Coturnix japonica: one gene and its partner. The protein of the gene in region 2 purifies or fractionates together with the protein of the main gene of each other region. This does not show direct contact. Links are inferred from orthologs where the notes say so. Each region holds a gene or a part of one and is shown on either strand. Other genes may lie near its edges.

Region 1 (6,011 bases), on a different chromosome or scaffold from region 2:
TTAGAAGCAGCTGGGGTAGATCACTAGTGGTAGCCTCTCCTCATTCCACTTCTGGCAGGCTGGGTTCCAAGCACTTTGCTTTGTGGAAAAGGCATTTAGTTGGTGACCAATTAAGAAGCCACCACTGATGCTCCTCCAAGACTCTGAACAGCTGCCCTTATGGAAGAGGAATGGCCAAAGATTAAAAGATCAAAGATTATCCAGTTCCCATCCCTGTGCCATGGGCAGGGTTGCCAACCACTAGATCTCCGATGCTAATCTCAGGTGCTCATCACAGGTGGTTGGGGTTAGAGCTTCATTACAGAGGGGGTTTTGGTGGAAGGAGAGGAACAACTCCCCACCACAGGTCCTTTGAGTAAAGGCAGTGAGATAAATTCAAGCCAAAAAATACTAAAAACCCATGAGAAGACTTTAGAGGGATGTGGTTCCAGCCTTTCACTGGTATCTTATGGCAGCTCATTTGAAATCCATTACACAACTAAGTTAAAAATAAACATTTACAGAAGAGGGAGCGGGTGGCCATGTGTGGTCTGTTACAGTAATGACAGAGATGTCCAGCTTTGGCAGCAACACCTCTGCTCCTAAACTAACCCATACCACAGCTTCTCTTCTTTTAGGACAAGTGGGAATGGTTTGAAACTGAGACAGGGGAGGTTGAGGTTGGATCTTAGGAGGAAGTTTTTCACCCAGAGGGTGGTGACACACTGGAACATGTTGCCCAAGGAGGCTGTGGATGCCCCATCCCTGCAGGCATTCAAGGCCAGGCTGGATGTGGCTCTGGGCAGCCTGGGCTGCTGGTTGGTGACTCTGCACACAGCAGGGGGTTGGTCTTGCTCACTTCTAAACAATGCTGATCCCATGTCAAAACTACACATCCCTGGACCTTGTCTATGTCTTGATATTGTTTAGTTCATCCAGAGCAACCTGATCCAGTGGTTGGTGACCAGTCCATAGCAGGGGGCTTGGAACTAGATGGGCTTTAAGGTCCCTTCCATCCCAAGCCATTCTATGATCCCTTCTATGATCACAGACCCAGGGTTGTTTTGGTGAGATGCTGCGTGAAATTTGGTGCTAAGACATGAAATGCAGCTACAGTCCCATATCAGAGGGTTTGAACAGCAAGGGAAGAGCTCTCATGTCTCTCTAATCCCCATTCACCATCAGCAGCCCCTGGAAGGGTGGGTGTCAGCTGCCAGGTGGCTGGGAGAGCTGATTGCCAGGCTGTTTGCATATGCATATCTGAAAATTGACAAAACGAGGGTGCTGTCCAAGCAAAATAATAATAATAATAATAATTGCATTTGCATCAGAAATGTGAAAACGCTGTTCTTCACTCTTTGAAGTCTGCATTGCTGCATCTTGCAGGGCTGTACTCTACACAGGAGGGGCTGCGGGGTGTGGGGAGGGGGGTCGGGATTGCAGCCTGGTGATGGGATTGTGGAGATGCTGGGCTCAGGGAGGGGCTGTAAATCATTCCCCACTGCCCTGGGGGGTGGGGGGAAAGAAAAAGAAAGGAAGGAGGCTGGCTGTGGGAAGGGGCCGGGGTGATGAGGTGTCTATGGCCAGCACTTAACCCTTCACACCACTGTGTTTGCAGACACTGCCCCGAGATGCTGGACGTGCAACAGCTGCATGTGGGGACAGACGTGGTGTTCCTTTCCAGAGTCACCCCAGGTGTTGATCCTTAACCCCTGGGGGAGGAAGGAAGCTCACGGTCCCAGAGTCACCCAGCAACTGGGCTCGTGTTTCTATGGGTCCCTTCTTGGAAGCAGTTAAAATGGTTTCCAGCCCTGCTGGGAGAGATGTGGGAGCAACAGGGGCTTTCCCAGTACAGCAGATGGGCAACAACTGGTTTCTGGGTGGTGCCAGCAAGCAGTGCCCTGAGTTACCCACCCTAGGGCTTCCCAGGGACTCCCACTCAGCCTTGCCAAATTATCCCCATCCCTTTTTGCCTTCCGTATGCACGCTCACCTCTAGGCAAGCATTTGAGAAACACTATCTCTGAGCTCTCCCTAGTGCCAGAAGTCCCCGGCTCTCTATGGAACATGATGAGAACAGCCACGGGGATGCTGTCCGAGTGCCTCCTGTGGGCTTTTTGGGGTCCCTGCCCTTGCAGCAGCCCTCCATTGCCAGTAGCATCCCTAACCCTCCTGCCTGGAAGGAGGATGTCTAGGACCCGGGCGATACGGCTCCTCCCTTTCAGGTCTCTCCAGGGTTATTGCTTGGTGGGAGGTAGGTTCGGGGCTTGGTGGTATGAATGAAAGAGAGACAGGAAATCTGGACTGAAAAGCTCAAACTGGAATAGCTCGCCTGTCTCCAGGCAACAGGCCTGACGCAACCACTGGAAAAAAAAAAAAAAAAAAAAAGTCCCTTAAATTAAGAAGGAAAAAAAAAAAACACAACACACACACACAGAGATTTCTGAAGCGAGACAGGGAGGAGGATGAGCCAGTCTCCTGAAGGCGCTGGTGACATCGCTCTGCAAATACCAAGTTGGAGCCCCGCGGAGGAAGGAGGGAGCCAAGATGTCCGTGCAGCGCTCCTGCTGAGTCCCTCCCTGGTGAGTTGGGGTCGGGGAGGGGATACCTGGTATGGGAGCTGTGGGAAATAGGGCTTGGCAAGGAGCAGGTCCTTGGGGAGAGAGTGTTGGGGTGGGGGCAGTGGGGACCCCCCCCCATTGTGGAGCTGGGGACTCATTCCTCTCATTCCAGCTTGGCCAAAATCGCTTGGAAACATCCAGACTGGTGGCACCCCAATGGTTGGGATGGGTGGAAATCACTGCAGGGCTTGCACCCCTCTTTGCAGAGGGGATTTTGCTCGCAGCTGGGGATACGTGAGGGGCAGCCACCACCTCCCAGGGAGCAGAGGGGGAATCTTTCTCCACCGGCTGTGGTGTAACAGAGAAGAGTCTGTCCCCTGCTCGGGATGATCACCTGTTGCTCCCTCCATCCCCTCCTGATCTGCAAGAGCCCCGGAGGTGTTTGTGCAGCGCAGACATCATGGGATGGAGCCTGCTGGCCTCGCAGGGTGGCACTACCTGAGGGTTCTGAGGCAGGCACGGCGCTGAGCAGGGTGGGTTTCCACCTGCTGAGGGCTGACCCTTGTAGATCTGACTGAGAAAAAAAAAACAACAACCCCTAAAATCATCCAGAACTTCTACAGAGCCCTCTATAACAGCTCGGGGCTAATTGCTAACATGAATGATCAGCCTGAGCCCCGACAGCGCCGGCACAAAAGCACCCTGATCCCAGCCCCAGTGTAGAGCTGGAGGACCCCTCCCTATTTCCCCACCATGCTCCCTGCATTATTCACTGCTGCTTTGCCCCTCTGAGCTTTCCCACATTGGAAACCTCGGTGGAAAGAGGGGGAAAATGAATGAAAACCAAGCGCCTTGTCGGCAGTGAGGGGCTGTGTCTGGCTTTGTCTGCCCATATCCGATGGATTCCCCACTTCTCAGTGGGAACGAGCTGTGGGTTTCCCTCCCCCAGATATCGTTTTGGTTCCATGGTTGTTATTTGCATGGCGTGTCCCCTCTGCATCCCCGTGCCGATTCCATGGGATCCGAATGGTGCACAAATAAAACAGAAAGGGAAGGAGCTCACAACAGCCCCGCAGCCATTCAGGTTTGAAAAATGTATCTGAAACACTGCAGGAAATATATATATATATATGTATATGTATATATTTATAAATATCATCCTGAGAGTAATTCAGCCTTTCAGAGGGGAGGGAGCAAGGGTCTGTTTGTGAGCAACCTGCCTTAAATGAGATATTGAACAGTAATGTGAGGACCAGCGCTAGAAATGCTGGGGAGGAGCAGGTCTGAGAGCAGTGCTCCTTGCTGCTGAGGCAGTAATTGGATGGGACAGGCAGCGTGTAGAGGGGATTAGGGGGTCGTGGGGGCTGATGCTGCCCCTGATCGCTTTAATTTGGAGCTGGAACAGGGGCTGCTCTGGCGCTTGTTTCTGCAGGGGAAGCTCAGTGCGAGGCAGAATGAAGGCAGGAGAAAGGTTTGTTGTTTCTTACCAGGAATGTACACTTCTCCTTCGTGCTGCATTGAGGGAAAAATAACTCCGTGTGACAGCCCCCTGGGAAGGGAGCATTTCTCAGCCTGATCCAGCTCGTTCCCAAGGAGCCCTGGCTGCTCTGGCACAGAGGTCCCTGCCCTGCTCTTTTTGTGGGTGAAACCCAGCAGGGTAAGGGGGCAAGTGGGGAAAACAAGAGAAGGAAGGAGCTCTGCCAAACTACCCCCTGGTCCTTCAGGGGCCCCTTGGGGAGCCGGGGTGAGGTCCCAAGTCCTGCTGGGACCTTGGGGCAATGCCTGGAGGGGCGACACTTAGCTAGTCCGTGCTAAAAGGTGGCTGTTGTGGATGGAGTATTTTTACCAAGGGGATGCAAAGTTGCTTTTCCTTCTGCAGCCTAACCCCCTTTCCTTCTAATAACAATGATACCTTGCTTTATGCGGTGGGCTGAGAGGCAGAATTGCCCTCCATCCACTTTCTATGAAGCCTTCCTGGTCTGCAGACGGCTCTCACTCATCACCAGAGGGCTGGTTTGCAGGAATGCCAAACATCTGGCAAAGCCTGGGCCATTTTCATGCTGGGTTTCCACCCAACCACTGGAAATCTGCTGATGGAGGGGAACTGGGCTGCTCAGAAGGTGGGGCTGCCAAGGACCCAACAGAGGCAGCCTCCATCCTGCTGCTTCAAAAGCAGCCTGCTATGATTTGTGCAAGGAGTAGGCTCAGAGGCAGATGGGGATGAAGGAACAGAGGTACTTCTGACACTACCATTGAGCCTGGAAAGGAATGCCAGAGGGAGAAGTGGTCCCCTCTTCTTAATATTGTCCACTTGTCAGATTTGGCTGCAGTCCCCCACTGCTCTCTTTCCTCTGTTGCACCTGGGCCAATTTTGGGGGGCTGTTTGGGCAGGAGGTGCTGGGGTGAATCCTCACCCTTCCTCAGGCCACACATGACATGAAAAGCCCAGTCCTTCCCTCCTGCTCCCATGTATTTGCAAATGCCAAGGGCTGAAGGAGCAGGATGGGTTGCTGTCCTGAGCATATGAGCTACCTGAGGGTGTTTGGGGGCATGGTTCACAGCCATAAATGCATGGGAACATCCATTTAAGTCAGTAACCCTATTAAGTCAGTATTCCAGACACAGCATGATGCAGCTCTGAGATCACATCTCTCAACCCTCAGTCAGCTCAGGGACAGAAAGCTGAGCTTCTGTCATGCATTAGACTAGAGGTGAGTCCATGTGTGAGAAGGGCCACAGGTAATACTGATATCCCTGCAAGTGTGGGGGATTCATCAGACCTGGAGCTGCACTCATGTTCATGATGCCCAGCTTGGCCATTTGCAGGCTTCAGGATCAGGATGATATTTGGGCTGCAGGCATCTTCTGATGGGAGGAGGGTGGCTGGAGGTCACTTCAGGACAGGCAAAGAAGGCATCCCCTTCACCATCCCACTGCCAATCTGCTGCAGATTACAGGTCAGCCATCCCCATCTTTTTGCTCTACCCCAACAGCCAGCTCTGCTCCACTCCTCCTGCTCTATTCTTTGTAAGGTTTCATCACCCACCAAGGATGGTGTTGGCAGGTGGAATTTCCACATAGGGTTGTCTTTCTTAGAGTGAAGGGCTGGTTGTGTGGCTCATAAAGTGACACCCATACAAGAGTAAATGGCTGCCAGCAGTCTGAGGACCTCATCCTAAACACCATACAGGGCATCCCTGCTCTGATAACAGTCAGAGTATGGACATACAGATGGGAATGAGACACCTGAAGATGTTCAATATATCCCTGAAGGTCCTCCGAGTTTGGCTCCTGAATGCCACACACTTGTGTCCAAACCTTGTTTGCCACATGCCAGAAGTGTTATCCATGGTCCTTGATGGCACTTCCTCATCCAGCTAAAGGGCTTCTCTCGGCACGAGCTTTGTCACACACTAAGCTGTGTTTTTATTCTCAAAGGAGATAAGCAAAGTCATGTAGATTCTTAAAATCA
Region 2 (5,363 bases):
TCATTCAAACTAAACTAACCTAGAGCAGATTAGACAGACAAACCTTAAATGTATGTACACGTGAAAAAAATTGTTAATAGAAGTTACTAAGTACTGTATCAGGAATTTTAATATAATACATCAAAAAATGCCACTTGCATTCAATCAGTGAGTATGCCTTTATTGCTGGATCTGTAGACTGGATCTTTAGTAGTTACTGTCTTGATGTTCTAAGTTACTATTTTAAGTGTATTTGGTGATTCATAAAGCAATATCAAAGTTGGTAGATAAAAGCCATCCACACTGTAGTGTATGTATGTAATATTTCTTTTCACCTCATCCACGTAACTCATCTCATTGCTTAAGCAAGAAAGCCAGCATGAGCATTTTCTAACTGAGAACAGCACAGACACAAAATATGCACATGGAAATATCTCAGCATGTTCATGGGCTTTCCTTTTGGCACCAGTAAGAATTTGAAAAACGACAGAGAATGTACAAATTTCACATATACTATCTCACAGACTGATTAGGTTCTAACCCTCAGCCCTTTTAACTCAGGTCCATAAACATAACAGATCATTCTTTCCAGTTTCAGCTCACAGCTTCATCCTGAACTGACAATGTGTTTTGCAAAAAAAGAATACAAATCTCCAATCTTCAAGGATCAGGAGTTCATGAAGTAAGGAGAAGTGATTCTGCACTGCATTTAACAGCTGCTTCCTTGGGGAATGCACAAATTTTTCTAAGCAAAACGCCCACTTGAAGCTGCTATGTATATGATTAGTTTTCCAAGGATCAGTGGGTGTGTCACAATGAACTTTCAGTACCATCATCTGTGAGTCCTGATTCTCTCCCCAGTCCCTTCTATTCTGACCACCCCATGAAGATCTGGAGCCAACAACTTTATATGTTTGTTTAAGCACTGTCTGAACTGTGTGAATACTTTCTTTTTTTTAAACCTTAACTAGCATCTTCCAACTCCAACGTATTTAATCCCTTATTAGTAATACGCTTTGCCAGCCTTTCTCAAACAACCTGAATGTATATCATTCAGCCAAAGGCTTGAAACAGACTTAAAGAAAACATAAGGAAAACTACGTAATGTAAGCTTTTGTGAATATTTCCTAAAGAAGGCAGTTTCTCTCCAAAATGCCAGTTAATCTGACGTCTACTGGTCATTCAATTCTAAGACATGCTAACCTGACTAACATGCCAGATACATATCTGTTATATAGGGCCCAAGTGTTACTTTTAGGTAATAAAAATACAACTCAGCTATCACATCTTCATAATCAGTTTACTTAATAACTCACTCTGAAGGTCAGATCACGTGCAAGAGGAGAGGTGTTGAAATATTCAAAAATGGAATCCTGAAAGTCTGGAAGTTTGAGACCTAAAACCCAAAACAGAATAGCCTTAGTTAAAAAGCCAAATCAACGCTGCATTAGAACTCTGTTAAAACACAGCAACTTCAATTACCTGAATCTGTTCTGTATTTTTCTTCCAGTTTTCTCCTTAAGCCTTCCATCTCTTCCAGTAATTCTCTGTTTTTTGCTTCAGATTCCTTTAATTTACTAATGTAAAAAATAAGATCAAAATACAGTCATAAGTATTTCCAAGTCAGGAATGCCAGCCTCAGAGTCCTAGAAAAAATCTTTTTATTTTTCCTTTTTTTTTTTTTAAATTTTTTTTTTCTAGGCTAATTGATTTTATTTTTCTCCTCAATTAGTACCTCACTACCTGACTAGATAATGAAAATTACACTTAAGACTCCTGTTACCACTGTAATTATTTGCCAAATATAATTATTATAATACTAGTTTGGTCTCCCAGTCAGTATATTAAAAAAATATTTGGTTTTGCTTTCAATTTGCTCTTAGCCATACTTTTTACCTCAGGTGCTTAAGATCCGTATCTTATTCCTGAGATATTCACACCAGTGCAAAGTTAACTTGAAAAAAGAGTTCTCATTTGACAACACTAGAAACGTCCAGCCTATAGAGTGGGATCTTTCCAGCAAAGTCCACTAATCCAAGCAGAAGGGAGCAATCCAAAACAAAGCTGTTACTATTACTATTCTAATTTACAGCAGCACAGTAAAACCTAAACATAATCAAAGCAGCTCTTACCTTTCAAAAGATATGTTTGCATCTTTAACTTTTCGTAGCTCTTCTTGAACTAGTTGTTTGGCACGAATTTCAGCATCAAGGGCAGACTGCAATTCCAGCCTCGCTGACATATCCAACTTCTGACTGCGTCGCACTTTCCAAAGTGGATCCTGTTGCAGTAAGTTATTGAATATTAACATCAGATGTCTAAATGTATTTCAGTAGCTGTTTAGAGACGTAAAATATCTTTCACGCTGGTTCAGAGAATGCACTTTTGATTAATTATGGACACTATTCCCACTATGCAGAAATCAGCCAATAGCCAGATATTATTTTGTAAAAACAAAGTAATGATAATTTGCTTTTAATGGTTATATATATATATATATATATATATATATATATAGCATAATATGCTTGAAATCAAATTGCTAGCACCAAGAATGACAGTCAAGCAGAGAATCCACAGAAAATGGTTAGCTTTCATTGTTCAGACTAGAAAAGCATATAGAACTTGCAGAGTGACATACTGGACTTCAGGAATTTAGATAAATGTATACAGTTTATGTAAGACATAATATCCTAAAACATAGCACAAAGAAAATGAAGTAATTTGGGTCTTGAGATATCCTGGATACTTAGGGACTTTCACCTAAACAGTTCATATGTTCATTAAGTAGATTACACTATGTAAAACCTCACCACCTCCAGCTACTTTTCCAAGGTTTTCAAAGCATTTTTCAGTGCGGACTACATTTTCAGTGCTCTGGGTATTCTCTCCAGTCAGATGAAAATGCAAATAATACTCATGAAAATGAGAGCCTTTTTTATGTTGAGAAATAATTAACCTTAGATCAGGTTCTGCATAAGTTACAAAACTAGCTGCAATATACAGAACAGAGAGCATTCTTTATTCTGGGCCAACCGCATTTGATCCAATCTTTCTTCTTATAAAACCACTCAACATTATGATCGTTTCCTCTATGATGCAGGCAAAGGTTAGCTTGTAAAAAGTCATAACCTTCTTTTATTTTCACCTATTCATAGGTTTAGAAGGAATGAGGAACTTTTATCTATATAAACCAGCAGCAGAATGACTCTTTCCACGGCATCTGCTAGGGACGTGTGCTTCCATGGCCAGCTGCAAATGTTTTTCCCTTTTCTTAAGCAGGTATTTAATACCTGCCAAGGCAGAGCAGTGTTTTTGTCTTAGAAACCATACTCCTTTAAGAGGATTTCTGTTTAATTTATTGCTTCTACTCCTCTGTACTGCGCAACAGTTTTAGTGGTAGATGTTATTAAGAAATACCACTCTATTTATCAAATTCTGATCGTACGATCCAAATGAATTTATCAATAGGTAAAACCAGTATGTCATTAGCAGAGCAGAGGATTGATTAGAAAAAATGCCTGATTCTGAGCAGATATTGAGAATGTTGGCTTCTTAGACATCTCCAGAACAGCCAAATGCTTGCTATTTTCTTACCAGTGTTCTTGATCCCAGACTGGAACTTCTCAAAGATTCTAGTTCTTCTGTCATTTTGGAGGCTAATGCTTGGAGATAGCCACGAGCATCCTTTTCATCACTTACCCTATTGTGCAATCACAAAAAGCTGTCAGTGAACAGTTTCATGGATCACAGCAACAAAGAATGTACTACCAAATAATTATTGTTTGCATCGGATTTAGAGACATGGCAAACATGGAGAAAGCATGAAAAACTCCCAGCAGAGAAAACTGAATATTGCTTATATTGCCTTGCTTTAGGTTGTTCTTGTATTTGATTCTCTCGATTGTGGCAGTTACCAGGGAAACTGAAGCTTTCCTCCTGCCATCAGGAAGTGTTCTGCAGAGATTCTCTGCTGTTTTCTGTAACATGATCTGCATACTGCTTGCTTGGTTTTTATAAGGGCTATTGTAAAGTCCTCCTATAACATATGGAAGGGCAAGTACAAAAATGATGCAAAACTTGCCCCTTACCACTCAGCTGAAATGCCTTTTCAGGCCTAAGTATTCATCAGCAACTAGACTAATCTACATCTAAGTTAAAACCACAGATCTCCAACTGTAGCAACACTCATTTTCAGCCAGCAGAAGACACATGTAGGTGACTAAATGTCATGCATTCATTAAATACCCAGGAAATAAGAAGGAAAGACTGATCCACGAATTAAGTGCAAGTGTGTCTCATACAACTAGTCAGGGTCTGTGTTAGCGTGGACCTTTAAATCATGACAATCTTCCCAACAAGGTTTATCAGAATACTCTAAACGTTGTGGCTTAATAACTACTTAAGAGTTTGAAGCAAGTTGACAAACAAACCCTCTCCTCTGTACTTAACAGTATCCGACAATTTCACTTAAAAATCTTATTAGCCAGTTATTCTGCAAAGCAAAAGAGAAATGGTTCATCATCACTCCAAAGCACTATGTTTTTGTTTGATCCCAGATGCACAAAAAAGGGCCTGGCTATACATAAAAAAAAGTGCAGTCAATATTTCAAAAATCTGCAAGTGGCCATCAGGATCTCTAAACAATACATACCACTGAATAATTTCTGCAATCTGAGCTTCCCAGTGAGCAACAGACTCCTTCTTTGCTGCTAGGTCTTGGAGCTCATCATCTAGCTGCCTGTTCTGTGCTGTTAATTTGTCCACAAAGGAGCAAAGCTGAAACAAAAGATTTCCCCTTTACATACGTTTCATACATTTATCAATGTGTATGTCTACATACTTACAGAATTTGAACAAACAACACATGAAATTATATTTTACTTGTTATTTTTGCAGAACTGGATCATGATCAGATACTGACCATGGAACACATTTCCATTTCACAGAAATCGATTGAAAGCAAAGGTGGAGCAGATTGAAGCAAGCGCAGAGGCCACAGTGAGGAAAGAGGCTTAACTGTAAGCCATCAGGAAGGCAAGCTGGCATTGTGAATGCTTTGCTCTCTGTGAAGCTTCCACACAAAAATTGGAAGGTGGTGCCCTCTGAGTTGCAGGAATCAGTTCCACAAAGAGCAGTAACTGAGATGCTAAAGCTACCACTTGGCCAGATCTCTGACACTTATATCACCAAAAATTCATTTGTTTTACTATATATTACCTGAACATTTACTGGTACTGTTCAGATCAATGAGAACATTATTTGAACACTTCAGAACAGCAGAACATAATACTTCTTGCTTTGCTAAAAAAAATGTTTCCTAAAATAATTACCTTCTCATTTTCTGTTGTTAGCTTTTTGTTATCTTCTAAGAGCATAGATCT

Evidence for each region. The genes of interacting proteins can lie anywhere in the genome.
Region 1: the proteins of CDC42BPB (region 2) and FAM167A purify together in Homo sapiens (co-immunoprecipitation; 3 studies listed by BioGRID and IntAct, counting the BioPlex papers as one, with this or other methods). This does not show direct contact. The link is inferred for Coturnix japonica from reciprocal best matches to the Homo sapiens genes CDC42BPB and FAM167A.

What each region holds. Positions count from the first base shown.
Region 1 is NC_029518.1:97,819,353-97,825,363, reverse strand, and holds the start of FAM167A (protein FAM167A), read left to right. Parts: upstream 1-2,100; 5' UTR 2,101-2,560; intron 2,561-6,011.
Region 2 is NC_029520.1:45,426,690-45,432,052, forward strand, and holds part of CDC42BPB (serine/threonine-protein kinase MRCK beta), read right to left. Parts: coding exon 5,313-5,363; intron 4,759-5,312; coding exon 4,634-4,758; intron 3,683-4,633; coding exon 3,577-3,682; intron 2,261-3,576; coding exon 2,112-2,260; intron 1,557-2,111; coding exon 1,462-1,556; intron 1,376-1,461; coding exon 1,296-1,375; intron 1-1,295. UniProt on the Homo sapiens protein: Serine/threonine-protein kinase which is an important downstream effector of CDC42 and plays a role in the regulation of cytoskeleton reorganization and cell migration. Regulates actin cytoskeletal reorganization via phosphorylation of PPP1R12C and MYL9/MLC2.